Linked DNA regions of Macaca fascicularis. The protein of the gene in region 5 purifies or fractionates together with the protein of the main gene of each other region. This does not show direct contact. Links are inferred from orthologs where the notes say so. Each region holds a gene or a part of one and is shown on either strand. Other genes may lie near its edges.

Evidence for each region.
Region 1: the proteins of COPE (region 5) and COPZ1 purify together in Homo sapiens (affinity purification with mass spectrometry; 3 studies listed by BioGRID and IntAct, with this or other methods). This does not show direct contact. The link is inferred for Macaca fascicularis from reciprocal best matches to the Homo sapiens genes COPE and COPZ1.
Region 2: the proteins of COPE (region 5) and SACM1L purify together in Homo sapiens (affinity purification with mass spectrometry; 4 studies listed by BioGRID and IntAct, with this or other methods). This does not show direct contact. The link is inferred for Macaca fascicularis from reciprocal best matches to the Homo sapiens genes COPE and SACM1L.
Region 3: the proteins of COPE (region 5) and COPG1 fractionate together in Homo sapiens (co-fractionation; 6 studies listed by BioGRID and IntAct, counting the BioPlex papers as one, with this or other methods). This does not show direct contact. The link is inferred for Macaca fascicularis from reciprocal best matches to the Homo sapiens genes COPE and COPG1.
Region 4: the proteins of COPE (region 5) and COPB2 purify together in Homo sapiens (affinity purification with mass spectrometry; 4 studies listed by BioGRID and IntAct, with this or other methods). This does not show direct contact. The link is inferred for Macaca fascicularis from reciprocal best matches to the Homo sapiens genes COPE and COPB2.
Region 6: the proteins of COPE (region 5) and COPG2 purify together in Homo sapiens (affinity purification with mass spectrometry; 5 studies listed by BioGRID and IntAct, with this or other methods). This does not show direct contact. The link is inferred for Macaca fascicularis from reciprocal best matches to the Homo sapiens genes COPE and COPG2.
Region 7: the proteins of COPE (region 5) and ARCN1 purify together in Homo sapiens (affinity purification with mass spectrometry; 4 studies listed by BioGRID and IntAct, with this or other methods). This does not show direct contact. The link is inferred for Macaca fascicularis from reciprocal best matches to the Homo sapiens genes COPE and ARCN1.

Annotation. Positions count from the first base shown.
Region 1 is NC_088385.1:61,173,209-61,177,730, forward strand, and holds the start of COPZ1 (coatomer subunit zeta-1), read left to right. Parts: upstream 1-1,326; 5' UTR 1,327-1,344; coding exon 1,345-1,518; intron 1,519-4,522. UniProt on the Homo sapiens protein: The coatomer is a cytosolic protein complex that binds to dilysine motifs and reversibly associates with Golgi non-clathrin-coated vesicles, which further mediate biosynthetic protein transport from the ER, via the Golgi up to the trans Golgi network.
Region 2 is NC_088376.1:108,647,413-108,652,155, forward strand, and holds the end of SACM1L (phosphatidylinositol-3-phosphatase SAC1), read left to right. Parts: intron 1-2,045; coding exon 2,046-2,182; 3' UTR 2,183-3,927; downstream 3,928-4,743.
Region 3 is NC_088376.1:154,168,706-154,172,689, reverse strand, and holds part of COPG1 (coatomer subunit gamma-1), read left to right. Parts: intron 1-1,747; coding exon 1,748-1,823; intron 1,824-2,063; coding exon 2,064-2,156; intron 2,157-3,146; coding exon 3,147-3,233; intron 3,234-3,984. UniProt on the Homo sapiens protein: The coatomer is a cytosolic protein complex that binds to dilysine motifs and reversibly associates with Golgi non-clathrin-coated vesicles, which further mediate biosynthetic protein transport from the ER, via the Golgi up to the trans Golgi network.
Region 4 is NC_088376.1:42,202,435-42,206,418, reverse strand, and holds part of COPB2 (coatomer subunit beta'), read left to right. Parts: intron 1-112; coding exon 113-201; intron 202-287; coding exon 288-394; intron 395-1,354; coding exon 1,355-1,498; intron 1,499-2,477; coding exon 2,478-2,608; intron 2,609-2,828; coding exon 2,829-3,036; intron 3,037-3,984. UniProt on the Homo sapiens protein: The coatomer is a cytosolic protein complex that binds to dilysine motifs and reversibly associates with Golgi non-clathrin-coated vesicles, which further mediate biosynthetic protein transport from the ER, via the Golgi up to the trans Golgi network.
Region 5 is NC_088393.1:19,305,348-19,309,331, forward strand, and holds part of COPE (coatomer subunit epsilon), read right to left. Parts: intron 3,878-3,984; coding exon 3,824-3,877; intron 3,139-3,823; coding exon 3,057-3,138; intron 1,720-3,056; coding exon 1,564-1,719; intron 1-1,563. UniProt on the Homo sapiens protein: The coatomer is a cytosolic protein complex that binds to dilysine motifs and reversibly associates with Golgi non-clathrin-coated vesicles, which further mediate biosynthetic protein transport from the ER, via the Golgi up to the trans Golgi network.
Region 6 is NC_088377.1:172,077,371-172,081,354, reverse strand, and holds part of COPG2 (coatomer subunit gamma-2), read left to right. Parts: intron 1-1,456; coding exon 1,457-1,645; intron 1,646-3,984. UniProt on the Homo sapiens protein: The coatomer is a cytosolic protein complex that binds to dilysine motifs and reversibly associates with Golgi non-clathrin-coated vesicles, which further mediate biosynthetic protein transport from the ER, via the Golgi up to the trans Golgi network.
Region 7 is NC_088388.1:117,450,472-117,454,455, forward strand, and holds part of ARCN1 (coatomer subunit delta), read left to right. Parts: intron 1-3,452; coding exon 3,453-3,716; intron 3,717-3,984. UniProt on the Homo sapiens protein: Component of the coatomer, a cytosolic protein complex that binds to dilysine motifs and reversibly associates with Golgi non-clathrin-coated vesicles, which further mediate biosynthetic protein transport from the ER, via the Golgi up to the trans Golgi network.

The DNA.
Region 1 (4,522 bases), on a different chromosome or scaffold from region 5:
TCAAAAAAAAAAAAAAAAAAAGAAAAAGAAAGAAAAAGAAAAATTCCTGGATAAGTCTGGAATCTCTTCTTGGAGAGCTCCTAAGGACATAATTTTCAGAGATGAGGGAAAAAAATCCCTGAGGGATAATTAAGGCAATAGGTATCCCTGCCCTAAGAGGAGTCAGGGATCAGGAAACCAAGAGATAGGGGAAAGCCAAGCTTCATCAAAACCATTCCCTATTGTGAAATCGTTGCATTCAGTAAACTTCTCTTTTCTCATTTTGCAACGGCTCGTTTCTTTCCTTTTCTTTTTCTTTCTTTTTTTTTTTTTTTTTTTTGAGATGGAGTTTTGCTCTTGTTGCCCAGGCTGGAGTGCAATGACGTGATCTTGGCTCACCGCAACCTCGGCCTCCTGGGTTCAAGAGAGTTTCCTGGCTCAGCCTCCCGAGTAGCTGGGATTATAGGCATGCTCTACCACGCCCGGCTAATTTTGTATTTTTTTTTTTTTAGTAGATACGGGGTTTCTCCATGTTGGTCAGGTTGGTCTCGAACTCCCGACCTCCGATGATTTGCTCACCTCGGCCTCCCAAAGTGCTGAGATTACAGGCTTGAGCCACCGCGCCCAGCCACAACGGCTTGTTTCTATTGGAAAACCCCAGACCTTACTCCCTATAACCCTCCCTTATTCTAATCCCTTTCCCCGTTTGTCCCCCCAACTCCATCTCCAAAGACGATTGAGCCAAAGTTAGCTTTTACAAACTCTGACTTCTCATGTTCCTCAGGCCCAGCAAAGCCTGGAACTCCACCTTAGGGAGATTGTTACTGCGACTATCATCTTCTGGCAGTCTTGGTTTATGTAGTTAACATGTTGGGCCTTTCTTGGCTCTACTCTATGGTTGTGCAGACTTTCTGTGAGGATGCTAAAGTGACCCGAGCGAGCCTGAGGGAAGGGCTAGCCACAGAGATCATGGACCTAGGGGGCGCTGAAAATAGGGATTATTAGGGGAGGATCCCTGTTAGGAAGCGTCAGCGTTAAAGGCTAAGGAGACACAGCGCCCCCTAAAGAGAGTGCGGTTTAAAATCGCTAAATCAGGCCGACAATATCACGTGTCCCTGGCCCTACCAATTGAAAATTAACAATCGCTTCCTCCGTTCCCCATGGAAACAACCCCGCCCCACCGACCCTCCCGCCCTAATAAGTCGTGAGGTTTTGGCGTTTTATTGAGTATTCAAACTGACAATCAAACACCTGTGCCTTCTGGTTGGATACTCTGCTTCCGGTAAGCAAGTTAGTACAATAATTGGTCAACAGAGCAAGTCTTACCCAATGATCCTTATCCTAGGCAGGGCCTAATGGGGACGTATGGCCAATCAGCGGTGGCGTTACTTTTGCGGCTCCACGTCGGCACCAGCTGCGGGGCAAGATGGAAGCGCTGATTTTGGTAGGAGCTGGAGGGGCAGCAGAGATGCTGTGCTGTCCACAGGGGCCGGGAGTCAGGGTGCAGCCCGAGTGGGAGACGGGGAAGGAGAGTTCCGGGTAATTCTTGGGGACTGACGGTTCTGCCGACCCTTGGAATAAGTGTGTGGCCTAGTGTAGGAGCTAAAGCCTTGGTTTAGAGTAGGAAGCCCTGCCGGGGAGAGGGCATAGAGTCGATGGAAAGTTAAAGGTAGCACATGGACTCCTTAGGATACACAGACCTGTAAGCGTACTGGATTAGGACTCTTCAGGTTTCCCCTTATTTTTAGCATTGTGGATGATATCCTGATTTTAATTTACCAAAACCACCAAACTAGCCCCATATTATGAGAAAAGAATACAGATGTTTTGTCGTTACAGGCTCCTCCTGGTGGTTTCCCAAGTTTGACTCTCCATTGCTGATTCCCTGCCACATTCTTTCAGGAAACTGTTTTCTCTTGGGTTTCCTATTAATCCCTATTAAATAGGTTTATCATGATAAAGAATCAGTGTTTCATCAAAGTTCTGGGATACCTGATAAAGTTAGCATGGATTGTGGAATATTTTTTCCAGACTCCTTATTCTGTTCTCCTTTTCTCTACCCATTGGACCTTAGGAATTCTTTTTTTTTTTTTTTTTGAGACCGAGCCTTGCTCTGTCGCCTACGCTGGAGTGCACACGTGGCACGATCTTGGCTCACTGCAATCTCCGCCTCCCGGGTTCGAGCTATTCTCCTGCCTCAGTCTCTTGAATAGTTGGGACTATAGGCGCGTGCCACCATGCCCGGCTAATTTTTTTTTGTATTTTTAGTAGAGACGTGGTTTTACCATGTTGGCCAGGCTGGTTTCGAACTCCTGACCTCAAGTGATCCGCCGGCCTCGGCCTTCCAAAGTGCTGGGATTACAGGCGTGAGCCATCGCGCCTGGCCAGGAATTATTTTATTTTATTTATTTATTTATTTATGAGACGGAGCCTCGCTCTGTCGCCTAGCCTGGAGTGCAGTGGCGCGATCTCGGCTCATTGCAATCGCCGCCTCCCTGGTTCACGCCATTCTCCTGCCTCAGCTTCCCGAGTAGCTGGGACTACAGGCGCCTGCCACCATGCCTGGCTAATTTTTTGTATTTTTCTTTTTTTTTTTTTTTGAGACGGAGTCTCGCTCTGTCGCCCAGGCTGGAGCGCAGTGGCCGGATCTCAGCTCACTGCAAGCTCCGCCTCCCGGGTTTACGCCATTCTCCTGCCTCAGCCTCCCGAGTAGCTGGGACTACAGGCTCCCACCACCTCGCCCGGCTAGTTTTTTGTATTTTTTTTTAGTAGAGATGGGGTTTCACCGTGTTAGCCAGGATGGTCTCGATCTCTTGACCCCGTGATCCGCCCGTCTCGGCCTCCCAAAGTGCTGGGATTACAGGCGTGAGCCACCGCGCCTGGCCAGGGATTCTCATTGTATGATCTAGGATGCTAATTTCTCCCTTTCTGGTTACATGAGAATTGTGGTCGCTACAAGGAGTGTATTAGCCCTCTTGTCCATATGATGCTTTATGCTTGTTCTAACAAATAAAATACCTGTTACCCCTTATTTAGAACTGAACCAGATAATTTCTCTCAAAAGTGCCCTATTTTGCGATTTGGAGGGGTGTGTGTGTGTGTATGTGTGTGTGTGTGTAGGTAGGTAGGTAGGTAGTTAATGTAGGAATTTAACTCCCAGCCTCCTTCGTTAATTGGCTCGAACTCCAGGCCTCTTTCCAAAGAAGCTTGTCTTTTATTTTCCTTTAGATCTCCTATGCATACATATTCAGATCCTCGTCAGATAAAAGAATAACAGTTTTTAATTCCTCTCTTTCAGCATGTTAAAGACAGATAATTCCGACCATCCTGGCTAACACGGTGAAACCCCGTCTCTACTAAAAAATACAAAAAACTAGCCGGGCGAGGTGGCGGGCGCCTGTGGTCCCAGCTACTCCGGAAGCTGAGGCAGGAGAATGGCGTAAACCCGGGAGGCGGAGCTTGCAGTGAGCTGAGATCCGGCCACTGCACTCCAGCCTGGGCCACAGAGCCAGACTCAGTCTCAAAAAAAAAAAAAAAAAAGAGACAGATAATTCCTTATGTCAGTTGGTCAAATATAGGTAAAAAGCTTAAAATCTGAGTAGTTTTAAATATTTTCTGTACCAGGCAGTTAACAAATATTCTTTTTTTTTTTTTGAGATAGAGTCTGGCTGTGTTACTCAGGCTGGAGTGCAGTGGTACTATCTTGGCTCACTGCAACCTCCGTCTCCCAGAATCAAGCAATTCTCGTGCTTCAGCCTCCCGCGTAGCTGGAATTACAGGCACGTGCCACCATGCCCAGCTAATTTTTGTATTTTCAGTAGAGACGGTTTCACCATGTTTGCCAGGCTGGTCTGGTCTTGAACTCCTGACCTCAAGTGATCTGCTGCCTTGGCCTCCCAAAGTGCTGGGATTACAGGTGTGAGCCACTGCACCTGCCCAGTTAGCAAGTATTTTTTTTTTTGTTTTTGTTTTTGTTTTGGAGACAGAGTCTCACTGTGTCATCCAGCCTGGAGTACAGTGCTGTGATCTCAGCTCACTGCAACCTCTGCCTCCCGGGTTGAAGCAATTTCTCCTGCCTGAGCCTCCCGAGTAGCTGGGACTACAGGCACACACTGCCACGCCTGGCTAATTTTTTTGTATTTTAGTAGAGACGGTTTCACTGTGTTGCCCAGGCTGGTCTTGAACTCTTGAGCTCAGGCAGTCTGCCTGCCTCAGCCCCCTAAAATGCTAGGATTACAGGAGTGAGCCACTGTGCCCAGCAGCAAGTATTCTTTTTTTTTTTTTTTTTTTTTGAGACAGAGTCTCACTCTGTCGCCCAGGCTGAAGTGCAGTGGCGTGATCTCAGCTCACTGCAAGCTTCGCCTCCCAGGTTCATGCCATTCTCCTGCCTCAGCCTCCCGAGTAGCTGGGACTACAGGCGCCCACCACCACACCCAGCTAATTTTTTGTAGTTTTAGTAGAGATGGGGTTTCACCATGCTAGCCAGGATGGTCTCGATTTCCTGACCTCGTGATCCGCCTGCCTCAGCCTCCCACAGTGCTGG
Region 2 (4,743 bases), on a different chromosome or scaffold from region 5:
TCATTGCTTTGTCCAGGATATAGTAAACCCTCAGTAAATGTTTGCTGAATTAAGGACTCTTACTCCACCACCACCACTAATTCTGTCACCTTTTTGATAGGGAGGCTCAGTTACCTGTTCGTCTCGGTATTCCTCTCAGTGCTCAGCCCTGTAGACAGTTGTGATGTAGTTTTGACTAAATGCTGAAATGTTGAGTAGGGGGAAAGAGCCATCTTACTATTATTATAGTTAGCAAAATTTTTCTGTAAAGAGCAGGTAGTAAATATTTTTGCCTTTATGGATGGTGTGTGGTCTCTGCTGCACATTGTTTGTTTTTGTGTTTATAACCATTTAAAAATGTAAAAACCATTCTTACCTTACAATACCAAAAACAGGTTGAGACATAGGCATTGCCCGGGACGTGACTGCGGGTTTTGGGGCAGGAAGGAAGAGGCAGCATGTGCAGGTTCCTCAGCGGCCAGCCCTGCTCTCATTTTCTCTCTAGATCCTCTGCCTTCTTTCCTGAAAACATACCCAGTGCTTGCCATTTTTGGGGAGCCACTGTACTGTTAAATTAGTTAATTTTGTTGTTCTGACTATACCCACATTTACCTAAAGAACCTCTGGGGAGGCAGGAAAGTCAAGACCAAGGGCTCTGCCTGAATAAAACGGGTGATTCCTTTAGGGTGTGTCCAGCAGAGTGGCCAATAAGGAACTGCCCTTTTTTTGTCCAAGAAGAATTTTAAAACTCAGAGCCATGAAAATTAGCAGTTATGCAAATTTGAGTATATTTTGCATAAAAAGAGATTGGATGCTGTGGATAGTAACATCTCATGTCAGTTAATTGTTATAACGAACTTTGTGACATTTGGGTGTGGCAATATCTGATTTCTAGCTCCTGCTGTGGTTTTCAAAGAGAATAGAAAACAAATGTAGCATGATCTCTGAGGGCTTGTTAGGAAAGAGTCTGGAGACTGGTTTCTTCCCTGGTGTGCTCTCTCACTGGCCGTTATTCCCTGTATGTGTTTCTCCGTCTGCAGATGAGGCCAGTACTGTTGCAGAGAGAGAAGCTATTCTCTAGGTTCAGCTATTCAAGGAGTAAAACAAAGTAGATCTTTGCCCATTGGCCTGCTGCTAACCTTTATGAACTTCGGACTTTGGAAAATGCGTATCAGCAGAGTTGGGCTAAATATGTCATTCAAATATGTTATTGGCTGGGTGCTGTGGTGTGTGCCTATAGTCCCAGCTACTCAGGAGGCTGAAACAGGAGGATCATTTGAGCCCAGGAGTTCTGGTCTGTAGTGTGCTATGCTGATCGGATGTCCGCACTAAGTTCAGCATCAATATGGTGACCTCTTTGAGCAGGAGATCACCAGGTTGCCTAAGGAATGGTGAACCAGTACAGGTCAGAAACAGCAGGACAAAACTTTCGTGCTGATCAGTAGTGGAATCGTGCTTGTGAATAGCCACTGCACCGTAGCCTGGGCAATACAGCAAGACCCCATCTCTAAAGCAAATGTTACTGACTTTTGTTTTATATATTTATGTATGTGCAAAAAATACCCTACAAAATATATGTAACTTCAGAAAAGTTTTGGATAACTTATGTTTGGTATTCATAACTTATGAATATTAAAATTTTTTGTGCAGGTATTTTGATAATAGCTCATATCTGTTACAGAACTATAAATTAAACAATAGTTTTTTGTATTATTAAAATATACTAAAAGTGATTATTATTTGTATAATATATGAAATCGTTTAGTCCAGTGGTTCTCAAAGTGTAGCCTCTTGATCGGTAGCATCAGCATCACCTGGGAACTAGGAACTTGCTGGAATGCAGATTCTTGGGGCTCAACAGTTGATGCTTTATCAAGCCCTGCAGAAGATTCTGGTACTAGCCAGGGTTTGAGAACCACCGGTTTAAACCTTAATTAAGAGGTTCTTTATTTTTGCTGTGAATGTGCTAGTAAACTTTAATGTTGCCAAAATGTGCTAAACAGCTGAAAACTGGGTCTGATATCAACAAATGCCTTATTTAGCTTTTTGTTTCTTAATATCAACAGGTGACACTTGGACAGAAACACTGGCCTATGTGCTCTTCTGGGGAGTTGCAAGCATTGGAACATTTTTTATCATTCTTTACAATGGCAAAGATTTTGTTGATGCTCCCAGACTGGTCCAGAAGGAAAAGATAGACTGAATTTGTATTTGTGGAAAGCGGCTTGGCTTGGAAGATTCCATTGTGCAGAACTGGAGTCTTTACTGACCCGCTTTCCACATCAGCCCAAGGTCTTTTTAATGCCTTTATCCAAAAGCACATCTTGTGCTCCGTGCAGGATGATGACAGAATTGATCTGATGTTACTGCCTTGATGGTCTCTTTGCTATTGGGACAGTTAGATTTATAATTTGAAGCTATTCTGTAATTAAAATATAACCTGAATTCAGCTTGCAGAATGGAAGCTGAATCTGTTCATTGGATTCTATTGATTGTCAGTTTAATCAGCTGTTGCAGAATAAGTAATATATTTTAAAAACCTAGCTCCTTTCATTATTTAAAACAGTAAAATTATTTTTGTAGCTCAGTTTCATTATTGTCCTTGTAGAAGCAGTCACTGTTAGCAGGCATACTTTTCCACACATCTTTGGACTTTTCTTAAAAGTTCAGTAATAAGCTAACTGTGTTTATAAAATGTAAGTCTCTTACAGACATCAAGTAGTTTGATGAGACAGTCTGTGACTTCATGATAGGAAAGAGGAGGGGATGTGGTCTGGGGTTCTTTTAAAGTCTCTGGTGGGCTGCCTCATGACTTTAATCAGCTTGAGCTGCCAGTGCACCAGCAGTTTAGATGTGATGAGAGAATTCAGATATACTTTATCTTTTTAAAAAAGTGTAAATAAAATCAAAGAATGTAAAGTCTATCTCTTATGCTAGAGGTCCAAAGCCACCTCTGTTTTAAAGATTGCCCCAGTGTGGAAGATGCCCATGACTGGTCAGCTACTTCCTCCTGTACATTTTGGTTTCTTTGAGGGTCAGTCATTGAGACATGCAGGCCTCTGAGAGGGTCTTGTTCTAGATTTCATATTGCACTTGGGGGGCAACAGCTGCTTTTCCACGCATGGTACTCTTGATGCTTTTCACTCTGTCAAGGATTTTGTTGGCTGTCAATAAATGTGTCTAAAACTTAGTGCTTCCAGGTAGTTATAGTTCTCCAAATCAAGGACCAACTTAAACATTAATTTATGTGCAAAAACAAACCTGAAAAATATGCTTCGGAAACTGTGCATAGTTCTAATTGTAAGTCAGATTGTATATTCAAATTGTAATTAAGAGATTTAAATATTAGAACAGTATGTAAGGTAGTATAATTACCACTATTTTAAAACAATTCAATTAAACACTGCTACAATATTTCAGTGTTGTGCTTGAAAATATGTACAGTTTTTTTCCAATATTAATACCTTATGTTGTCCTTAAATATTTCTAAAAGCGCCTTTATTTCAGCATTACCTTTTTTTCATCATTATCTTTTGTAAAACATTGATACAAGTTGTTACTTTTAGAAACTCTAAAGGAAATAATAGCTGGAAAACCCTTTGTAGCTTAAAATCAGTCATTAAACTCACAATAGGGTAAGTAAATATAGCCACCTGTTAACATGTAAATAAGCATAATGTGTTCCAAAGATGGAATATTGAAACTTAGTTCATGTCTGCTGTAAAATATTATTTAAATGCTGCTGGGCATTTCACTTAAAGAACTTAATGTCAACAACTACAACAAAGACCAAATCTGAGCTGCTAATGTGGCTGCTTTGTAGGGAATGGACTAATCAGTGTGTTAGATCTTAAGGTATCAGTATTTCAGAATCCTGCGACGATTTTATTTCTAAATTCATGTACTGTATGTCCATAAGTGAAAATAAAATGTCATATTCTTTTCTAACTACTGTTGGTATCATTCATGTACTTTGAAAGTGATGTTTTTCTTTTTGATCTTAGAATATTAAAAATCATGCAGAGTGATACGGTTTGGCTCTGTGTCCCCACCCACCCAAATCTCATCTTAAATTGTACCTGGTGGGAAGTAGTTGGATCATGGGGGATGGTTTCCCCCATGCCATTCTCATCAGTTCTCACGAGGTCTGATGGTTTAAAAGTGTTTGGCATTTACCCCCTCGCTCGCTCGCTCTCCTGCCACCATGTAAGACGTGCTTTGCTTCCCCTTCACCTTCTGCCATGATGGTAAGTTTTGTGAGGCCTCCCCAGCCATGCAGAACTGTGAGTCAAACCTCTTTTCTTTATATGTTACCCAGTCTCAGGTAGTTCTTTACAGCAGTGTGAAAACAAACTAATACACAAAGCAATGCATGATCATCATAGAAAAATTGGAGTAAGCAAGCAAATCAGTAGCTTCTGCAATCTTGCTTTCCAGTTACCATCACTTAAGAAATTTTGTATCTCCTTATAGTTATTTTTTTTAGTTACAGAGAAACCCAGGGAAGTACTTAAATGTAATGTCTATAAAAAGGTGTCCCCCACCTTCAAACTGTGATTTGTTTTTCAAAATGCTATGAATCCCAGCTGATGTGGGAAAATATTGCTTGTTAGAAAATGACACCTCCACAGGAAGGTGTCAGCATGAGGGAAATAGTGATGTGAACACATTGGTACCTAGTGATGGCAGCAGTGGGCTGTCTGAAGTGGCTGCTGCCATTGTGCCGGCCTTGGCAGGGAGATGTGAGTGGTGACGGCAGGAGGG
Region 3 (3,984 bases), on a different chromosome or scaffold from region 5:
AAAAAGAACACACAAAAAAAACAGAGTAGAAGCGGTATACTGCTTACTAAGTGACTGGTGTCTGCTTTAAGCTAAATGATTCAGGGACAGATGTGACTAAAGTGTAATCACTGCCCTTAAGAACTGGGGCTCAGTTCTCTTATTTCTTCCTGCCACAGTTTAGGGTGGGGGGGTCATACATTGATTTGTAGGTTCAGTTAGAAAATATTGTCTGTCAGTCCCTGTGTGTAGCTCTGGGGATGTAGCAGCAACAAAGATAGACATAGCCTCTGTAGCCCCAGAATTTATGGAGAAATAACCAGGCATCAGGCCATTAAGGTAGGGTGTAATATGGTTTATCACGGAAGTATTATGGGCTATGAGAGGAGACCAGAAGAGCATCCAGCTGGATTTGAATTAGGAAAGTCCTCCTAGGGGAATGATCCAAGTAGAGTCCTGAAGGATGAGTAAGAAGAAATAGGACAGGCCAGGCGCAGTGGCTGACACCTATAATCCCAACACTGTATCCACAGTGTAATCCATAGGCCGCAATGGGCGGATCACTTGAGGTCAGAAGTTTGACACCATCCCGGCAAACATGGTGAAACCCCGTCTCTACTGAAATAAAAATTAGCCAGGTGTGGTGGCGTGCACCTATAATCCCAGCTACTGGAGAGGCTGAGGCAGGAGAATTGCTTGAACTGGGGAGGTGGAGGTTGCAGTGAGCTGAGATTGTGCCACTACACTCCAGCCTGGGTGATAGAATGAGATTCCGTCTCAAAAAAAGAAGAAAAAAAGAAGCCCGGCACGATGGCTCATGCCTGTAAACCCAGCAGTTTGGGAGGCCGAGGTGGGTGGATCATGAAGTCAGGAGTTTGCCGGGTGCGGTGGCTCAAGCCTGTAATCCCAGCACTTTGGGAGGCCGAGGCGGGCGGATCACAAGGTCAGGAGATCGAGACCACAGTGAAACCCCGTCTCTACTAAAAATACAAAAAATTAGCCGGGCGCGGTGGCGGGCGCCTGTAGTCCCAGCTACTCAGGAGGCTGAGGCAGGAGAATGGCGGGAACCCGGGAGGCGGAGCTTGCAGTGAGCCGAGATCGCGCCACTGCACTCCAGCCTGGGCAACAGCGTGAGACTCCGTCTCAAAAAAAAAAAAAAAAAAAAGAAGTCAGGAGTTCAAGACCAGCCTGGCCAACACAGTGAAACCCTGTCTCTACTAAAAATACAAAAATTAGCCAGGTGTGGTGGCACACACCTATAATCCCAGCTACTGGGGAGGCTGAGGCAGTAGAGCTTGAGCCTGGGAGGCAGAGGTTGCAATGAGCCAAGACCGCGCCCCACTGCACTCCAGCCTGGGCGACAAAGTGAGACTCTGTCTCAAAAAAAAAATTAAAAAAAAAAAAAAAGAGTAGGACAGAGTGGAGGTGAGGGGTGAGGAGTGCTATAGGCTAAGGAAACAGCACATGCAAAGGCTGGAGAGGGGTGAGCATAGCCAGTTGGGGAAATTCAAGGAGTTACATTCAGGTCACTGGCAGTAGGAAGCTATGGAAACTTTTTAGCAAAAGCAGGGGGATGACCTGTTTGGTTTTGAGTTTTATGAAACTCCCTCCAGCAGCTGTGTGGAGTTAGACTTAGAGGGGCAAGAATAGAGGGAGAGCACTGGTTAGGAGGCTTGTGTAGTAATCTGGGCAAGGGTGGTGATGGGAGCTGGAGAGGAGTGAGCAGGCTCAGGCTTTCTGCATGCTGACAATGCCTTCTTCCTTGCAGCCTAACAAAAGACATGACTGGGAAAGAAGACAACTACCGGGGCCCAGCCGTGCGAGCCCTCTGCCAGATCACCGATGTGAGTCATGCCGGTCCTTCCCTGCTTCCTGGCCTCTCAGTTGAGGCTCTCGGCATCATCTTTTGCATGCTTTGGGGTGTCCCCTATCTCACTGAGCCAGGTGATGTGGGGTGGAGGTGGTGTGCAGGAGCACATGAGAAACACTTCCTCCTCATACTCCTATCTGCCCCCATTTCTGCACTCCTGAGAGCTGCCAAGGACTGACTGGATCTCCTTCCACCCTGCTTCTTTTGCCCACAGAGCACCATGCTGCAGGCTATTGAGCGCTACATGAAACAAGCCATTGTGGACAAGGTGCCCAGTGTCTCCAGCTCTGCCCTCGTGTCTTCCTTGGTGTGTAGCTGCTGCTGGAGCCCTGCTGGGGGTGGGGTAGAAAACTGAAGAAAATTTCAGAGTCACATTCCAGTAGGAAAAAAGAAAGTGTTTCCTTCTTTTTTATTTTATTTTATTTTTTTAACTGAGACAGAGTCTTACTCTCACCCAGGCTGAAGTGCAGTGGCACGCTCTCGGCTCACCAACCTCTACCGCCAGGGTTCAAGTGATTCTCCTGCCTCAGCCTCTCGAGTAGCTGGGATTATAGGCACCGGCCACTGTGCCCAGCTAATTTTTGTGTTTTTAGTAGAGACAGGGTTTCATCATCTTGACCAGGCTGGTCTTGAACTCTGGATCTCGTGATCCACCCACCCCCCTTGGCCTCCCAAAGTGCTGGGATTGCAGGCGTGAGCCACTGCTGCTGGCCTTTTTTTTTTTTTTTTTTTGAGACAGAGTCTCACTCTGTTGCCTAGGCTAGAGTGTAATGGCTTGATCTCAGCTCACTGCAACCTCTGCCTCCCTGGCTCAAGCCATTTGCATGCCTCAGCCACCTGAGTAGCTGGGATTGTAGGGGTGCACCACCACGCCCAGCTAATTTTTGTATTTTTGGTAGAGATGTGGTTTCACCATGTTGGCCAGGCTGGTCTTGAACTCCTGACCTCAGGTGATCCACCCGCCTTGCCTCCCAAAGTGCTGGATTACAAAGCATGAGCCACTGCACCTGGCCAAAATAAAGTATTTTTGTATCTGTAAGCCTGAGAGTCCCACCCTTCTCCGTGAAGAGAGCCAAGGAACTCTGGGGTGATTGAAGAGGGTCGTGGGTGGATGGCGTTGACCCATGCCTTGGGCAGGGACAATGAGGGTGGGAGCATCCTGAGTTTGTCCATGGTCTCTGAAGACCAGGACAGTGGCGAGCCCCTGAGCTATGTCTGAGGGAGGACCAGAACTGGGCCCAGAAGGTGTGATGGGGACACTTCCTACCTGCCCCTTAATGTGCCCTGTTGCCCACAGCACCTGCTGAAGTGCAGTTTTGATGTGGTCAAGCGCTGGGTGAATGAGGCTCAGGAGGCGGCATCCAGTGATAACATCATGGTCCAGGTGAGATGTGAGCAAGGGAGTGATATTTAAAACACTCAGGCAGGTGGTAAGGCACTGGCCGGTTGGCATGGCCACTTGCCACTGAGATCCTTGTGACTCCTGGCCATAGCAGGCTTTAATCTTTTTGTCATTGGATCATGGGAAGAATTGGGAGGTCCTGGGTTAGAGAATCCAGGGTACCACTTCGGGGGCTTGGGTTAGAGACTGCTTACCAGCTGGTGCTGAAATATTCAAGTGTTTTGATAACCAGTTGAGTATTGTTTTGGAGCAGATGATGTGGCAAACTTGGCCAAGGCAGGCAGAGGGCTGCCTAAATTTAGGCCTTTGCCAACTTGGCTTTGTTATGATGTGTGGAATTATCTTGATGAGGCTTTCATCCACTTTACTCTTCCTCGGTGACCTAGGCCAGCCGTTCCTTTTATCTCTCTGGGTCGTGATTTCCTTGTCTGTAAAATACAAATGAAGGTTACTGCCTCACAAAGCAGCAAGGATGAGCCGAGATCATGCATGTAACACATGACCCATCTGGGGCCTGCCTGTCGGCGCTCCCTGTGTGTTTATGTATTCCCTTCATCTCTCATCTGTCTTCTCATCCTTTGCATGAGTCTTGTCTTCAGGGCCAGCTGTGGCCCCTTAAAACACTTATGAGGGCCAGATAAGCTTCCCACATAGAAGGCATCCACAGCTGCCATAACTTCGCCCTCAAATGTCGCTTCTTTAGGAAACAAAGAGTATCGAGGACAGGAAATAA
Region 4 (3,984 bases), on a different chromosome or scaffold from region 5:
ATTTTATATTTTTGCATAATTACTGAAAAATATTTGAAGATATTTCCAACATTTGGTGGAATTATGATGTAGTATATAACATGTTATGTTTGCCTTCCCTTTTTTCTCCCAGGTATGCAATAAGAGAGAGCAACAGTGTTGTAAAGATATTTAAGAACTTTAAGGAAAAAAAATCATTTAAACCAGATTTTGGAGCAGAAAGTGAGTGTGGTCTACGTATTACATTTTTAAATTCTTTGTAATGGCTCCAAAATGCCTAAGCAAAACTCTTTTTATGTTCCCTTTAGGTATCTATGGCGGCTTCTTATTGGGAGTCAGATCTGTAAATGGCTTAGCTTTCTATGACTGGGACAATACAGAACTCATACGAAGAATTGAAATTCAGCCCAAACATGTGAGTTTCCCCTGTTGTTGTTTTTGGAATATTTATTTTTGTGATGAGTTCTGGGTCCCTAAGGCCAAGAAGTGTCTTGTACCCTGCTGTCCCTCTTCCATTATCAAAAGCCATTTAAAATATAAAACAGCACTTAGAATTTAAATAACTTTTTAAAATACACATCGTCTACGGCCTCATTAGGGTACGACAATCCTGATTTTCTGAGCAATTGGAGGTAAGTGGCAGTGCCATTTTGACAGAGGAAAAAAGCATGCTTTGACAACAAGAAGTCAGAGAATTCTTGACTTGGAAATGCCTTCTTCCACGTAGTTCAGAAAACCTTTTCATATGTTTTGATGATAGCTGCTTGAACTTGAGGTGACCATCTCCAGTGACAAAGTGTTTACCTTTAGAACTGCCCGCTGCTTTGACAGTTTTCACTATCAGGAGATTATCTGTGGAAACAAACCAGCTTTTCTGGGGTCTGGTTCTAGAGTGTGCATTCTCAATGGGCGTAAAAATTGGCTTGGGGGGGCTTACTCTTTATGAATAAAGCATAGCTATACATATGTGTATGCATTACATATGTGTATCTGTGGTATTAACATTTCATTGGGGGAGGTGATTAGAAAAATGTCCAGAAAGACTTCTAGGGAGGGTGGGTGAAAATGAAAAAAAAAGAAAAAGTGATAAACACTGTTCTAGAGCAATAGGGAACAGGCTGCTGGTCCTCTATGTAGCACGTTCAGTGTTTACTGACAGCTGTCCTTTCCTGTCTCACTTTGGACTTTCTATTGCTAGGCTAAATAGCATAGCCCTGCCCTGGCCACCCTCCCAAATAATGCCACATAACATTGTTAAGTGAATACTTATTATCTTGATATAAGAAGATAAATGTTGTAAGAAATCAAGTATGTGCAGTTTGTCATATCCACTCAGAAATCCAAATCAGTTGTCTATGATTTTGTTGTGTTGCAGATTTTCTGGTCTGACTCTGGAGAGCTAGTCTGTATTGCTACTGAGGAATCATTTTTTATCCTTAAGTATCTGTCAGAAAAAGTCTTGGCTGCACAGGAAACACATGAGGGAGTTACTGAAGATGGCATTGAAGATGCCTTTGAGGTAATTGGATCAGCACATCGCTTTTAGCTTTGTATTTAAATGATTTATATTCTTACAACAGACTTTACTGATTTTAACATTTCGTTATAAATTAGGTTTGAGGAGACAGCATTTAAGGATTTCTGGTGAAATGTGAAAATTAAAATCTTGACTCATAGATCAAACTTTGAAAATACGTTTAAAAGAAATTTGTGCTTTGATTTTAGGAATTCTTTAGACTTACTTTGATATCTTTCAGTAAAGAAATTGTAGTCGTTTTGGTCCTAAGACTATTTAGTCAGTGATTTAAATGAGCTCCCAAATGGTAAATCATTCATTATGCAGATATCCTAGATTTTGTGAAATACTTAATATTTCATTTTCAAGTTATGAAGGGTCTAAGTTTAGATCAGTGTTCTTTTATATCATGGTTTTGGCCCAACAATGAGATTTCACATTACAAATACTAATCTAGGAATCTGTTCTTTTTTTTTTTTTTTTTCTGTTTTGAGCCTAAGGGTTATATTGAGTAGGAATCTGTTCTTAAATGAGGAAAGAAATTCCAGCCAGTTGCAGTGGCTCACACCTATAATCCCAGCACTTTGGGAGGCCAAGGTGGGCAGATCACTTGAGGTCAGGAGCTTAAGACCTGACCTTAACTTGGCATGGTGAAACCCCGTCTCTGCGAAAAACATAAAAATTAGCCAGGCATGGTGGCAGGCACCTGTAATCCCAGCTACTTGGGAGGCTGAGGCAGGAGAATCACTTGAATCCGGGAGGCGGAGGTTGGCAGTGAGCAGAGGTTACACCACTGTACTCTAGCCTGGTTAACAGAGACTCCATCTCAAAAAAAATTCCAAGGAAAATTTTTCTTTCTGGAAATAGGAAGGATTTTACTTTGCACTCCTTATTCTACCATATCACCCTCAAATATATTCAGCTTTTTATTGAGAGATTTCTGATGTTGGATAAAGTAATAGTCTTTATTTTCTTTCTGCAGGTTCTTGGTGAGATTCAGGAAATTGTGAAAACGGGGCTTTGGGTAGGCGATTGCTTCATTTACACAAGTTCTGTGAACAGATTAAATTATTATGTTGGAGGAGAAATAGTCACCATTGCCCACTTGGACAGGTACCTGCGTATCATTTCGCATTTGTCCTAAATTTTAGCAAAATCTGTTGTTGGCTTGATAGGCTGATTTTTCAGTGGAATAGTTTTAGTAGGTTGCCTATTGTTAACCAAAAATGTATCAATCAGACGGGAAGGTTTTGAGCAAGAGGCAGGTTGGCGGGGCGTGTGTTTGTGTAATTGCAGATTTGAATTTCTAACTTGGTTTCTGTGTCTTTTATAGGACGATGTATCTCCTAGGCTACATTCCTAAAGACAACAGGCTTTATCTAGGGGATAAAGAATTGAACATCGTTAGCTATTCCCTGCTGGTTTCAGTCCTGGAATACCAGACAGCCGTCATGCGGAGGGACTTTAGCATGGCTGATAAGGTCCTTCCTACCATTCCAAAAGAACAGAGGACCAGAGTTGCACACTTTTTGGAAAAACAGGTAAGAGGTTTTGTTTTGTGTTTTCTTTTTGTTTTTTAAAACTAGCAATTTGAAAGCAAATTAGTATGGAGTTGAAAAACTTTATTTCTTAATTGCCAACTGATTTCTGTGGCAATAGAATTTCTCCTGTGAGTTTAAGGCACTTGTTACAGCATATGATGCACCCTTCTTACACGCTTCCTTCTGCTTTCTCAGTGCCCCCTTTAAATGTTAGAGGTGATTTATCAGTCTTTCTCTTTTTATTATTATTATTATTATTATTATTATTATTATTATACTTTAAGTTCTAGGGTACATGTGCATAACGTGCAGGTTTGTTACCTATGTATACTTGTGCCATGTTGGTGTGCTGCACCCATCAACTCATCAGCACCCATCAACTCGTCATTTACATCAGGTATAACTCCCAATGCAATCCCTCCCCCCTCCCCCTTCCCCCCTCCCCATGATAGGCCCCGGTGTGTGATGTTCCCCTTCCCGAGTCCAGGTGATCTCATTGTTCAGTTCCCACCTATGAGTGAGAACATGCGGTGTTTGGTTTTCTGTTCTTGTGATAGTTTGCTAAGAATGATGGATTCCAGCTGCATCCATGTCCCTACAAAGGACACAAACTCATCCTTTTTGATGGCTGCATAGTATTCCATGGTGTATATGTGCCACATTTTCTTAATCCAATCTGTCACTGATGGACATTTGGGTTGATTCCAAGTCTTTGCTATTGTGAATAGTGCTGCAATAAACAGATGTGTGCATGTGTCTTTATAGCAGCATAATTTATAATCCTTTGGGTATATACCCAGTAATGGGATGGCTGGGTCATATGGTACATCTAGTTCTAGATCCTTGAGGAATCGCCATACTGTTTTCCATAATGGTTGAACTAGTTTACAATCCCACCAACAGTGTAAAAGCGTTCCTATTTCTCCACATCCTCTCCAGCACCTGTTG
Region 5 (3,984 bases):
GCGCGGTGGCTCAAGCCTGTAATCCCAGCACTTTGGGAGGCCGAGACGGGCGGATCACAAGGCCAGGAGATCGAGAGACGATCCCGGCTAACACGGTGAAACCCCGTCTCTACTAAAAAATACAAAAAAACTAGCCAGGCGAGGTGGCGGGCGCCTGTAGTCCCAGCTACTCGGGAGGCTGAGGCAGGAGAACGGCGTAAACCCGGGAGGCGGAGCTTGCAGTGAGCTGAGATCCGGCCACTGCACTCCAGCCTGGGTGACAGAGCAAGACTCCGTCTCAAAAAACAAACAAACAAACAAACAAACAAACAAATAAAACCCAAAATCCGTTTCACCAAAATGGAAAAAGCTTTGATGTCCTTTTTGATTATAAAAATAATAACCCAGGCCGGGCGCGGTGGCTCACGCCTGTAATCCCAGCACTTTGGGAGGCCGAGGTGGGCGGATCATGAGGTCAGGAGATTGAGACCATCCTGGTTAACACAGTGAAACCCCGTCTCTACTAAAAACACAAAAAATTAGCTGGGTGTGGTGGCGAGTGCCTGTAGTCCCAGCTACTCAGGAGGCTGAGGCAGGAGAATGGTATCAACCCAGGAGGCAGAGCTTGCAGTGAGCTGAGATTGTGCCACTGCACTCCAGCCGGGGGACAGAGCAAGACTCCATCTCAAAAAAAAAAAAAAAAAAAAAAAAAGAAATTAAAAAAAAGAAAAAAATCCGCTGGGCATGGTGGCTCACACCTGTAATTCTAGTGCTTTGGGAGGCCAGGAGTTCAAGAACAACCTGGGCAACACAGCAAGAACAACCCCGTCTCTACAAAAAATAGTATTTTTTTTTAAATTTAAAATAACATAAACTCTTCATAAAGACTGCAGATGGTCAGGCATGGTGGCTCACGCCTATAATTCCAGCACTTTGGGAGGTTGAGGCAGGTGAATCACCTGAGGTCAGGAGTTTGAAACGAGCCTGACCAACATGGCAAAACCCCATCTCTACTAAAAATACAAAAATGAGCTGGGCATGGTGGCAAGCGCCTATAATTCCAGCTACTCGGGAGGCTGAGACAAAAGAATCGCTTGAACCCAGGAGGCAGAGGTTGCAGTGAGCTGAGATCACACGACTGCACTCCAGCCTGGGTGACAAAGCGAGACGCCATCTCAAAAAAAGACAAGAAAAGACTGCAGACATCAGACAGGAGACGACTGCAGCCAGCCTGGGCTCCTGGCCACAGCACGCTGTCCCCTAAATAAGGACTGGGAGTGTCTCTCCAATACTGAATATGTACTCAGGTGAGGGGTCCCACATGCAGGGCCAGGCAGCTGAGGTGACAGACCACTGAGGCCCAGGCTGCCCAGATGCCCCATTTCTGTGAGGCCGGAATCTGGATTTCTTTGCAGGTGCGATCCCTGCTTTGTGGATCTCGCTGCTGACTGGGCCTCAGAAGCCCTGTGGGGCCACACGCACACGCAGGGCATCTCTGCTACACTTGTTTCTGTTTGCCCTGACCCCGCCCTCCGGCCGCCTGGCCTTCCCTCCGTTCCCACTTTGGGACAGCCTTGTGCCTACCTTGTCTAGCGCCTCCTGTAGCAGGCCCTCAGCGGCCTCCCAGCGGCCCTGGGCCATATGGCAGGCCGCCTGCCCATTGAGCAGCAGCAGGGTGGGCGAGCACTTGTCAGCCATCTCCTGGAAGATGTAGTAGGCATCCTGCAGCTTCTCACCGCCCTGCAGGGAGGGTCCCACATCATCATCTGTGCTGCGGCCGCCAGGCCCTTCCACCGTCAGCCCCCTCCCCAAGAGGGGGCTCTGCACTGCACAGACACAAATCTGGTATGCCCGGTTCAAGGCACAGCCACTCCACCATGGGGACCACTCATAACCTGTACTCTGCTGACGGGGCCTAAAGACTCGCGGCCGCCTCCTGCCTCACCTCCTACCCGGCTCCCAGTGCGCTGGGTACACAGAGGTGGAATTTAGGGCTTCCAGGGCACAGGGGCACAGGTGGCTGGGCCAGGGTCTGAGTGGGGACCACTGGGTCACCGGGCACATCGGAGGAGGATGAGTCAGCTCTGTGACCAGCAACTCTGACCTGCCCGCTTGCTCAGGACTGTGGGATACTTGCAGGGGGAGCCTGAGGTCAAGGCAGGCTGTGAAAACAGTTCAAACTACCCGAGAGGGCTGCCGAGGCCTGTCCCACCACACTGGACGGCCACTGGAAGTCCATCTGGGTGAGGCTCCAGCCCCGTGGTGGGCAGGGACGGGGAGCACATTTCTTCCCCCCAGAGTTTTGCTCTTGTCACCCAGGCCAGAGTGCAATGGCACAATCTCGGCTCACCGCAACCTCCACCTCCCAGGTTCAAGCGATTCTCCTGCCTCAGCCTCCCAAGTAGCTGGGTTTACAGGTGGGTGCCACCATGCCCGGCTAATTTTGTATTTTTAGTAGAGATGGGGTTTCTCCATGTTGGTCAGGCTGGTCTCGAACCCCTGACCTCACATGATCCACCCACCTCAGCCTCCCAAAGTGCTGGTATTACAGGCGTGAGCCACTGTGCCCAGCCAGGAAGTGTATTTTAACAGGCCTGCACAAAAGAATGGCTCAGAAGGGGGCCAAGTCCCAGAAACCAGGAGGGGGGTGTTGCCAGGCAGAGGTGCCCAGGCCTGGGAGCTGAGGACATCTCCACCGCTGCTATGGGAACACTGAACCCTGTCCCTGGCTGGGGACCAGGACCCTGGAGAGCAAAGCTGAGTCGCAGAAAACCCCAGGAAGCCCTGGGGGGAGGAGGGGCTGCCAGGCCAACCCAGACCCTCGAGTCCCCCTGCGCCTCAGGCTCAGGAACCCCGTCCCCGTCCCCACCATCGCTCTGCCTCTGGCCAAGCCGCTTGGCTGTGAGAAGCCCGGAATGGAGTGAAGGCTGAGAGTTGTGCCAGGCTGGCAGGGGGCCATGGCCTGATCCTGGAGCCCCACTGGAGTGGCCGGCAGCCTGGGCACAGGTGGGGGTGCCCACAGACCCTACTCAGCCAGGTGCCCACAATGCCCGCCTGCCTCGTGGCCCAGGACTCACCGTGGCCAGGCTGACCCAGGCGGTGGCGAGCTGGGTGAGGGTGGCATCCTCGTCCAGGTCCTGCATTCTCTTCAGTTCCTTCCTGGGGTGGGGACAGAGGACGGAGGGGCTGAGCGGCCGAGAGCCCTGGCCTGGCTATCCCTGCCTTGTTCCCACTTGGGGCCCGCCAGAGCCCGGGGATGGCCCCCACTACGTGCTCCCCTGCGTGCTCATACCCCACGACGAAGTGCCCGAGCTGCCCTGCCCGCCCCACCACGTGAAGGCCCCGGGAAGGCGGGACTGGAGCCAGCTACGGACCCCCGAGGTGGCTGGCACAAGGTAGGGCTCGGGAGAGACTCGCTCCACGGAAGATGGAACGCAGGGAAGGGCGACGGAGCTACAGCATGAACAACTCTGAGGCAAGGGCTTTGGAAACGGCAGCAGGGGAGTCCTGGACCACCAGCCATGGCCTCCGACCTGGTGACGCCACGTGCAGGCCCCGCCAGCCCCATGGCACAGTTACAAGCTGGCCCAGCGACATGTTCCTCCGGGCACGACCTCCACTCCCTCCATAAAGCCCACTCTCACCCTGTGGGACAGGCCCACCACTACTGCAGAGAGAGAAACTGAGGCACAGACAGCCATGGCCCTCCTCCCTGGCAACATACTGCAAGGAAGGGCTGAGTGACGGCAAGTCACCCCCACGGAAAGGAATAACGAGTAATGACAGCACCACAGACGCTCTGGGCCATGGCTCAGTATGGGTACAGAGGAGTGGGAGGGCTCACCGGGCGAGATCCAGGCGGTCCAGCTTCAGCAGGATCTGCACTGTCATGGCCATGCTGCAGGACAAGGCGGGGGACGGTCAGCGGATGGCCACAGACACGCTGCATGGCCACTGCACACCCAGGGCTCACTCTGTGTGTCTGGGATGTTCTTAAGTCCTGTA
Region 6 (3,984 bases), on a different chromosome or scaffold from region 5:
CATATCTCAAGTTTTTGACATCCAGTATATTTACATTTACAGCATACTCAGTTTGGATTAGCCACCTTTCAGATGCTTAGTAGTCACATGTTGCTGTCGGCTACATTATTAGACTGTATAGATTTAGAGGATATAATACAGAAACACAGAATAAATTAAATAAACATAGAAAATGTAAATGAAAGTTAAATGTAGTAGAAGACTTGTCATAGGCAATACATAATTATAAATTAATTGTGTAAACAATTGAAGAAAAGAGAAGTTTAGAGCAGCCATGGAATAAACCTTTATAGAACAACAATTTAAATTGTTTTTAATTTATTTATTTATTTTGGAGACAGAGTCTCACTTTGTCTCCCAGGCTGGAGTGCAGAGGCGTGATCTCGGCACACTGCAACCTCCACCTCCCAGGTTCAAGCAATTCTCATGCCCCAGCCTCCCAAGTAGCAGGGATCACAGGTACCTGCCACCATGCCCAGCGAATTTTTGTATTTTTAGTAGAGTCAGGGTTTCGCCATGTTGGCCAGGCTGGTCTCAAACTCCTGACCTCAGGTCATCTGCCCACCTCGTCCTCCCAGAGTGCTGGGATTATAGGTGTGAGCCACCAGGGCCTAAATTGTTTTTAAAGAGTTGATACAGGTCCACAATCCCTCATCTCTAATCTTGGGGCCAGATGTGTCCCAGAATTAGCTTTTAGATAAATTTTAGAAAGGTTATATGGTGTTATATCTTATTTACTAACCCTAGTGGGCCTGGGGCAGCATCCCACCATTAAAACACATTAATGTTTTTGCACAAAACATATGACTATTCTTGTCAAGTGGTACAAATTAACAATTAAAGAGTTTCACATTAGTTTAGGTCATGTTTTGCTGTTAAATAAATTTTCATCCCAATGCTTTGCTTTCCAGAGTTTTTTCAGATTTTCCAAATTGTGGGTAAGGGATTCTATACCAATACTGGGATAGACAAAAAGATGGAACAACATCAACAAAAACAAGGACACAGGAGAATGGCTGACTATGTAGTAACCATAGATAATGCAGTTTGGCTGGAGTTTGCGTGTTGAAATGCAGAAGTATTTTTTAAGTGCTAAGATATTAACAGTCTTTGTCGAGCACTGTCTACTATGCTAGATCCCGTTCTCAGTGCTCCTAACATCTAATAGACATATATGAACACGTGTACTATAAGGAAATACAGGCCAATTATAATTTTTTTAAAATGGTAATGTTAGAAAGGTTATAGGAACCTAACAAAAGAGAGTACGATGCTATACTCTGGCTGTTGATCATTTATTAAAAGATATACCTTGTTAACTGGAGCCATTCTTTTTGAAACAATGACTTCTAACTTATCCTGTCCTCTTTGGATTGCCAGTTACCTCAATTAAAATTTAAGTTCTGGCCTTTATCAAAAGCAATTTGCGTAATTTTTTTTCTTGCCCTTCCACAAGGTGGCAATGAAGCACCCCTCTGCTGTTACTGCCTGCAATCTGGACTTAGAAAACTTAATCACAGACTCAAACAGAAGCATTGCTACCTTAGCCATTACTACACTCCTCAAAACAGGAAGTGAGAGCAGTGTGGACAGGCTCATGAAGCAGATATCTTCTTTTGTGTCTGAAATCTCAGATGAGTTCAAGGTAAGAGTTTAAACATGATCATGTTTTCTCCCAGTCTGTTGGCTGCCTATTTATTTTCTTAACAGTGTCATTTGAGAAGCAGTTTTAAATTTTTATGAAGTCTAATTTATCAATTTTTTTCTTTCATAGTTATTACTGTTCCCTAAGAAACCTTTATCTACTTATTTTCTCATGCTTTAGGCTAAATGCTTTATGGTTTTAGATTTTACATTTTAGGCGGTAATCCAAGTTGAATTCCTGTTTGTTTGGTAAGTTCAGTATTTTTTCCATACCGCTATCTACTGTATTCCACCATAATTTGTTGGAAAGACTTCCTTTTTTCTATTGGAGTGCTTTGGCACCTTTGTCTACAAAGCAAATACCCATATAATTTTAGGTATATTTTTGGGCTTCTTATCATGTTACTGAACCGTTTGTCAATCCAGTACCATTACCACACTAATATTGATTAATGTAGCATTATGGTACCTCTTAAATGTCAAGTAGTGTGGTCTTCCAACTTTTTCTTTTTTAATATTCTGGTTCCTTTGCATTTCCTATGAAATTTAGGACTAGTTTATCAATCTCCACTAAACAAAGCCTACTAGGATTATGACTAGGATTGTGTTGAATCTCTAAATCAATCTGGGGAGAACTGACATCTTAATTTATTATTTTTCTATTTCATGAATATGGTATATCTCTCCCTTTAGACCTTTAATTTCTCTGAGCAGTGTTTTGTAGTGTTTACTCTAGAGGTCTTGCAAGTCTCTTGTTAAATTTATATCTAAATATTTATGCTTTTGATATGTTATTAAAAATTTTTATTGTTTACTACTAATGAAAAACTTTTAAAAAATACTTTTCCATATTAACTTGGTATCCTGTAACCTTGCTGAGTACCTTTAGTGGTTCTAGTCATCATCATACACATTATTATCTATATAATCTATATAAATAATTATGCCATTTGTGAATAGAAACAGTTTTACTTCTTTATATCCAATCCAAATGCCTTTCCTTTATTTTTCTTGGCTAATTAAAAAAGTACTTCCAGAATAGGGTTGTATAGAACTGGTGAGAGTATGTCAGAGATGATAAAAAAAAAAAAATAAATTTCAGTTAAAAGAATAAAAGTAGAAACATTGTATTGCTTCATTCTTTCTTTATACTCAGTCAAGTAGTATAACTAACCCTATTTACTCTCTACTTAGTATACATCCAGACTTTCAGAAAACAAACTTTACCTGTATATTCAAGCAGACAGTTTTGTGCATCTGGTGTAGCAGTTGCTTGTTCCAGTTTTTTCAAATTGCTTTTGTAGGAGTGAGTTTTTTCCTAAAGACATATATTTTGTTATTGAGATACCTTGACTTTGATTTTGACTGCCTGTGGTAGTGGGGTCTTTGTGTGACCTCTTGAGCAGTACACAGGGTCAGTGGTATCTGATTCCTCAGTGACTTAGGGTACAGGCATTAGTTGAGGTCGTGGTGAAGTTTAGCTGGGGACCTAGAAACATAGTCTTTGGGCTCCAGTAGTGCCAGCAGTGCACCACGTGTGCCTATTTTTAGGCCCAGCTTACATTGGCTCCAGTGTTGGTGGGTACAAGAGGGCTATCCTTGGGCCTCCACATGGCTTGCTAGAAACAAATATTGAGAGCAATGAGCCCAGTGTGTGAGTGGGTTCTTCGGCCCTTGGCAGCTGGTGTGGTGTGGGCACTAGTGGTGTTGGAGCAACCCACAGGGTCACAAGCAGTCTGTGTTGGTATTGGTAGAAGCTGCAATGGGTTGGATAGGCTAGGTCCCAGTCCCACAACTGCCTGTAGCAGGGTGGTGAGTATTATGCTAAGTGTGTTTAGGAGAGCTTGTTATCCCCTGTCCCTCCCCCAGTTGGGTGACAGCTGCAGCCACATCATCATCATCTCAAACTCAGCCTGAGGGTGGGGCGTAGCCCAGCTTTAAACTCTCAAAATGATGCCAGCTGTGGGCTTGTGACTAGAAAGGGTGGGGACCCTTCAGGTGAGCAGCATGGGCAAGAAGCTGTGGGGAGTGTGGTCTGCTTGGGGCTTGGTCTCACAGCAGCCCATTGAAGAACATTGGATATTGTCATAACTATGCATGGGGGAACCTGGCTTTCCTAGTCCCTCCTTTGACCAAGTGGTGGCTGCAGCCACATCAACTTGAACTCAACCCAAGGTGGGGCACAGCCAGCATTAAACTCTCAAAATCGTGCCATGGACCAGGGAGCAGAGAGGGTGGGGTCCCTCCCAGGTATGCAGTGTGGGCAAGAAGCTGTGAGAAGTGTGGTCTGGTCACACGTCAGTCTGACAGCTCCCTGCTACAGAGCAGTGAGTATGATCC
Region 7 (3,984 bases), on a different chromosome or scaffold from region 5:
AATTTACATATATGTTTTAAATTACATAAATCTTAATTTAGAAATAATTTTTTCCATTTTTATATTCATAAAGCAATTTTGTCTAGATTCTTTATGAACATCATATCACTTGGGCCACTTTTTGAATCATCAGTTTGCTATTTAGCAGTTTTGAATCCATGTGTGATATATTGGCAGTTTGGGAAATTTTATCCCAAGTCATAAAAACCCATTTATATAATATTAGGACAGTTACTTTTAAAAGGAATATTTATAACTGATATTCAACACATGAAATTGTGAGTTCTGGCTAGGCGTGGTGACTCATACTTGTAATTCCAGCACTTCGGGAGGCCAGGGTGGGCTGATCACTTGAGTCCAGGAGTTCAAGACCAGCCTGGGCAACATGGTGAAACCCCACCTCTACTGAAAATACAAAAATTTGCCAAGCGTAGTGGCACCTGCCCATGGTCCCAGCTCCTTTCAAGGGGCTGAGGCAGGAGGATTGTTCAAGCCCAGAAGTTGAGGCTACGTGAGCCACGATCGCACCATTGCAGTCCAGCCTGTGTGACAAAGTGAGACCCTGTCTCCAAAAAAAAAAAAGAAATTGTGAATTCTGATCCTCAGGATAATTACTAAATCCAGTGACCTTTCGTTGCTACCACATGCAAAACTAGCATAGTTTGAAGATAAGGTGTATCCCAGACAACTCTTTTAGTTCAATATAGTCATTGAGGGAGCACCTTTAATATGACAGACTGTGGAAGGATTCAAAACTACATAACTCTTTTTAAAAAATATATAAGTATTCCTTCCATAAAAATATATTACTATGATAGCATATTTTCACACCTAAAAATTAGCATTAATTTTTTAGTATTATCAATTATTCAATCACTGTTCAAATTTGATTTGTACATTGTGATGGACTGACATGTCTAAGTCTCTTTTAATGTGTGTTTGTATTTTTAGTAGGGATGGGGTTTCTCCATGTTGGTCAGGCTGGTCTCGAACTCCCGGCCACCGGTGATCCACCCGCCTCTGCCTCCCAAAGTGCTGGGATTATAGGTGTGAGCCACTGTGCGTGGCCCAAGACTACTTTTTCAAAACTGTTTAGGGCCTATGCCCTAAAAAGGGCATAAGCACGTTGGCTTATGCCTGTAATCCCAGCACTTTGGGAGGCCGAGGCGGGTGGATCACTTTGACCTTAGGTGATCGAACTTAGGAGTACTAAGTTCTAAAAATACAAAATTAACTGGGTATGGTGGCATGCACCTGTAATCCCAGCTACTTGGGAGGCTGAGGCAGGAGAATTCCTTGAATCTGGGAGGTGGAGGTTGCCGTGAGCTACGATCACGCCATTGCACTCCAGCCTGGGCAAAAAGAGTGAAACTCCATCTTAAAAGGAAGTTAAAATAAGAAAAAAAAATTAACTGGGCGTAGTGGCAGGCGCCTGTAGTTCCAGCTATTCGGGACCACTTGCTGTTGAGAAATAAGCATGATGGTGATTGTCTCCCACATACCCTAATTACCTATTTTTAGTGGATAAGGATGTTATGTTCTCCTATAATATAAAACTATTGATGTATTGAAACTATAAGAATATTAGGCCGGGCACAGTGGCTCAAGCCCGTAATCCCAGCACTTTGGGAGGCTGAGACAAGCAGATCATGAGGTCAGGAGATTGAGACCATCCTGGCTAACACGGTGAAACCCCGTCTCTACTAAAAAATACAAAAAAAACAACTAGCTGGGCGAGGTAGCGGGTGCCTGTAGTCCCAGCTACTCGGGAGGCAGAGTCAGGAGAATGGCGTAAACCCGGGAGGCGGAGCTTGCAGTGAGCTGAGATCTGGCCACTGCATTCCGGCCTGGGCGACAGAGCGAGACTCCGTCTCAAAAAAAAAAAAAAGAAAGAAACTATAAGAATATTTATTTAAATTGGCTAACTTGTTGTTCTTCAAGCTACTCACCTGTAGAGCTTTCTATAAAGCTGAGAAGCCTGACCAGTAGGATTTTGATATTTCAGAGGTTATATCCTAGCATTGAGGCTTCCTAAATGTTTTAATAGTGTTTGTTACTTGTGCTTGTGAATGAGCTCTTGGGTTCCTGCACTGAGGGGACTGGACTTAATTTTCTTACTCCCCTGCTCATGGCATTTGAGGTCTCCGCTGCTTCCTTTGGTACTTTATTTGTTTTGTTTAGTGAAATGCCAGATGCTAAAATAGGGGCTATTAGGTCTTGATCATTGCCTAATATCAAAACCTATGTGAAACATTGAGCCATTTAGATTTTTATTTTGCAGATTGTTTGGATATCTGGGAGTAAGACAGTGTGAATGGGAAAGTTAGTCAAGGAGCAGAAGATAAATTTAGACTCAGTAGCTTGGGTTCATATTCTAGGTAAAAATAATAAATGTAAGGGGCTTCTTATGTCTTTAATATTTTTAATCTGCCTGATCACACTTCAGCATGGGCTTGGAAATATCTTGCTCTTTTTAGAAAAAGTTTTAAGCTGTTCTTTGTGGGTTTGCCAAAGCAGAGAGCAACCCAGTTCTGAGTCACAGGAGACTCATTAATATATGTATGGTCTTGGAAAAAGGTCATTTCATTACACAGTTTTTCTATAGGTATGTTATTGAAAAACAGGAATAATAGCGTTAGTTTCCTCTACCTTAGCTTTGTCTTATAAATTACGTATTACAATGAAAAGAACAATGGAGTAAAAGTTTGAAACTCAGCATTCTTTTTTTTTTTTTTTTTTTTAAAGACAGAGTATTGCTCTGTTGCCCAGGCTGGAGGGCAGTGGCTCGATCTCTGCCTCCCGGGTTCAAGTAATTCTCGTGCCTCAGCCTCCTGAGTAGCTAGGATTACAGGTGCATGCTACCATGCCTGGCTCATTTTTGTATTTTTAGTAGAGATGGGGTTTTGCCATGTTGGCCAGGCTGGTCTCGAACTCCTGACCTCAAGTAATCCATCCACCTTGGCCTCCCAAAGTGCTGGGTTTACAGGTGTGAGCCACTGTGCCCGTGAAAGTCAGTATTCTATTGCTCGTCATGTCAGCTGGTCGTGGTAGCTCACGCCTATAATCTCAGCACTTTGGGAGGCCAAGGCAGGAGGATTGCTTGAATCTAGGAGTTCAAGACCACCCTGGGAAACATAGTGGTCTCTACTAAACTTTTTTAGTAGACACTGTCTCTACTAAAAGCTTTTTAAAAATTAACGAGGCTTGGTGGCACGCACTTGTAGTCCTAGCTACTCAGGAGTTCTTGAGCCCAGTAGTTTGAGATTGCAGTGAGCTGTGATCTTGCCATTGCACTCCGGCATGGGTGACAGAGTGAGACTCTGTCTTAAAAATAATACTACTACTAGTTCTGTCACTAAATAAATATGTCATTTTATGGAACATTTCCTGGGATGTTGAGAAAACAGATGTGAAGAAATAATAGTACTTATTTATGCATATGTTCCTGGCAGGTGCTCTTGGCAGCAGCGGTCTGCACAAAAGCAGGAAAGGCTATTGTCTCTCGACAGTTTGTGGAAATGACCCGAACTCGGATTGAGGGCTTATTAGCAGCTTTTCCAAAGCTCATGAACACTGGAAAACAACATACGTTTGTTGAAACAGAGAGTGTAAGATATGTCTACCAGCCTATGGAGAAACTCTATATGGTACTGATCACTACCAAAAACAGCAACATTTTAGAAGATTTGGAGACCCTAAGGCTCTTCTCAAGAGTGGTAAGAGTACTGCTATAATACTGGGTTCCACTTTTTTTTTTACATTTTGTGCGAAACTAGTTTTTCCTCCAAAGCAGCTGATGCTCACCAGTTTGCAGGCTCCTGCTCCCCACCCCAGCGACTTACTGCTGCAGCTCCTTGTTTATTCAGCAGACATTTATTGGGTGTCCTCTTAGAATATAGGTGTCCCAAAAGAATACGGGAACTACTCTTTCATTTCCCAGTTCTTAAGCAGTTGTTCTAATCTGCCGTTCTAGTTCTGATACTT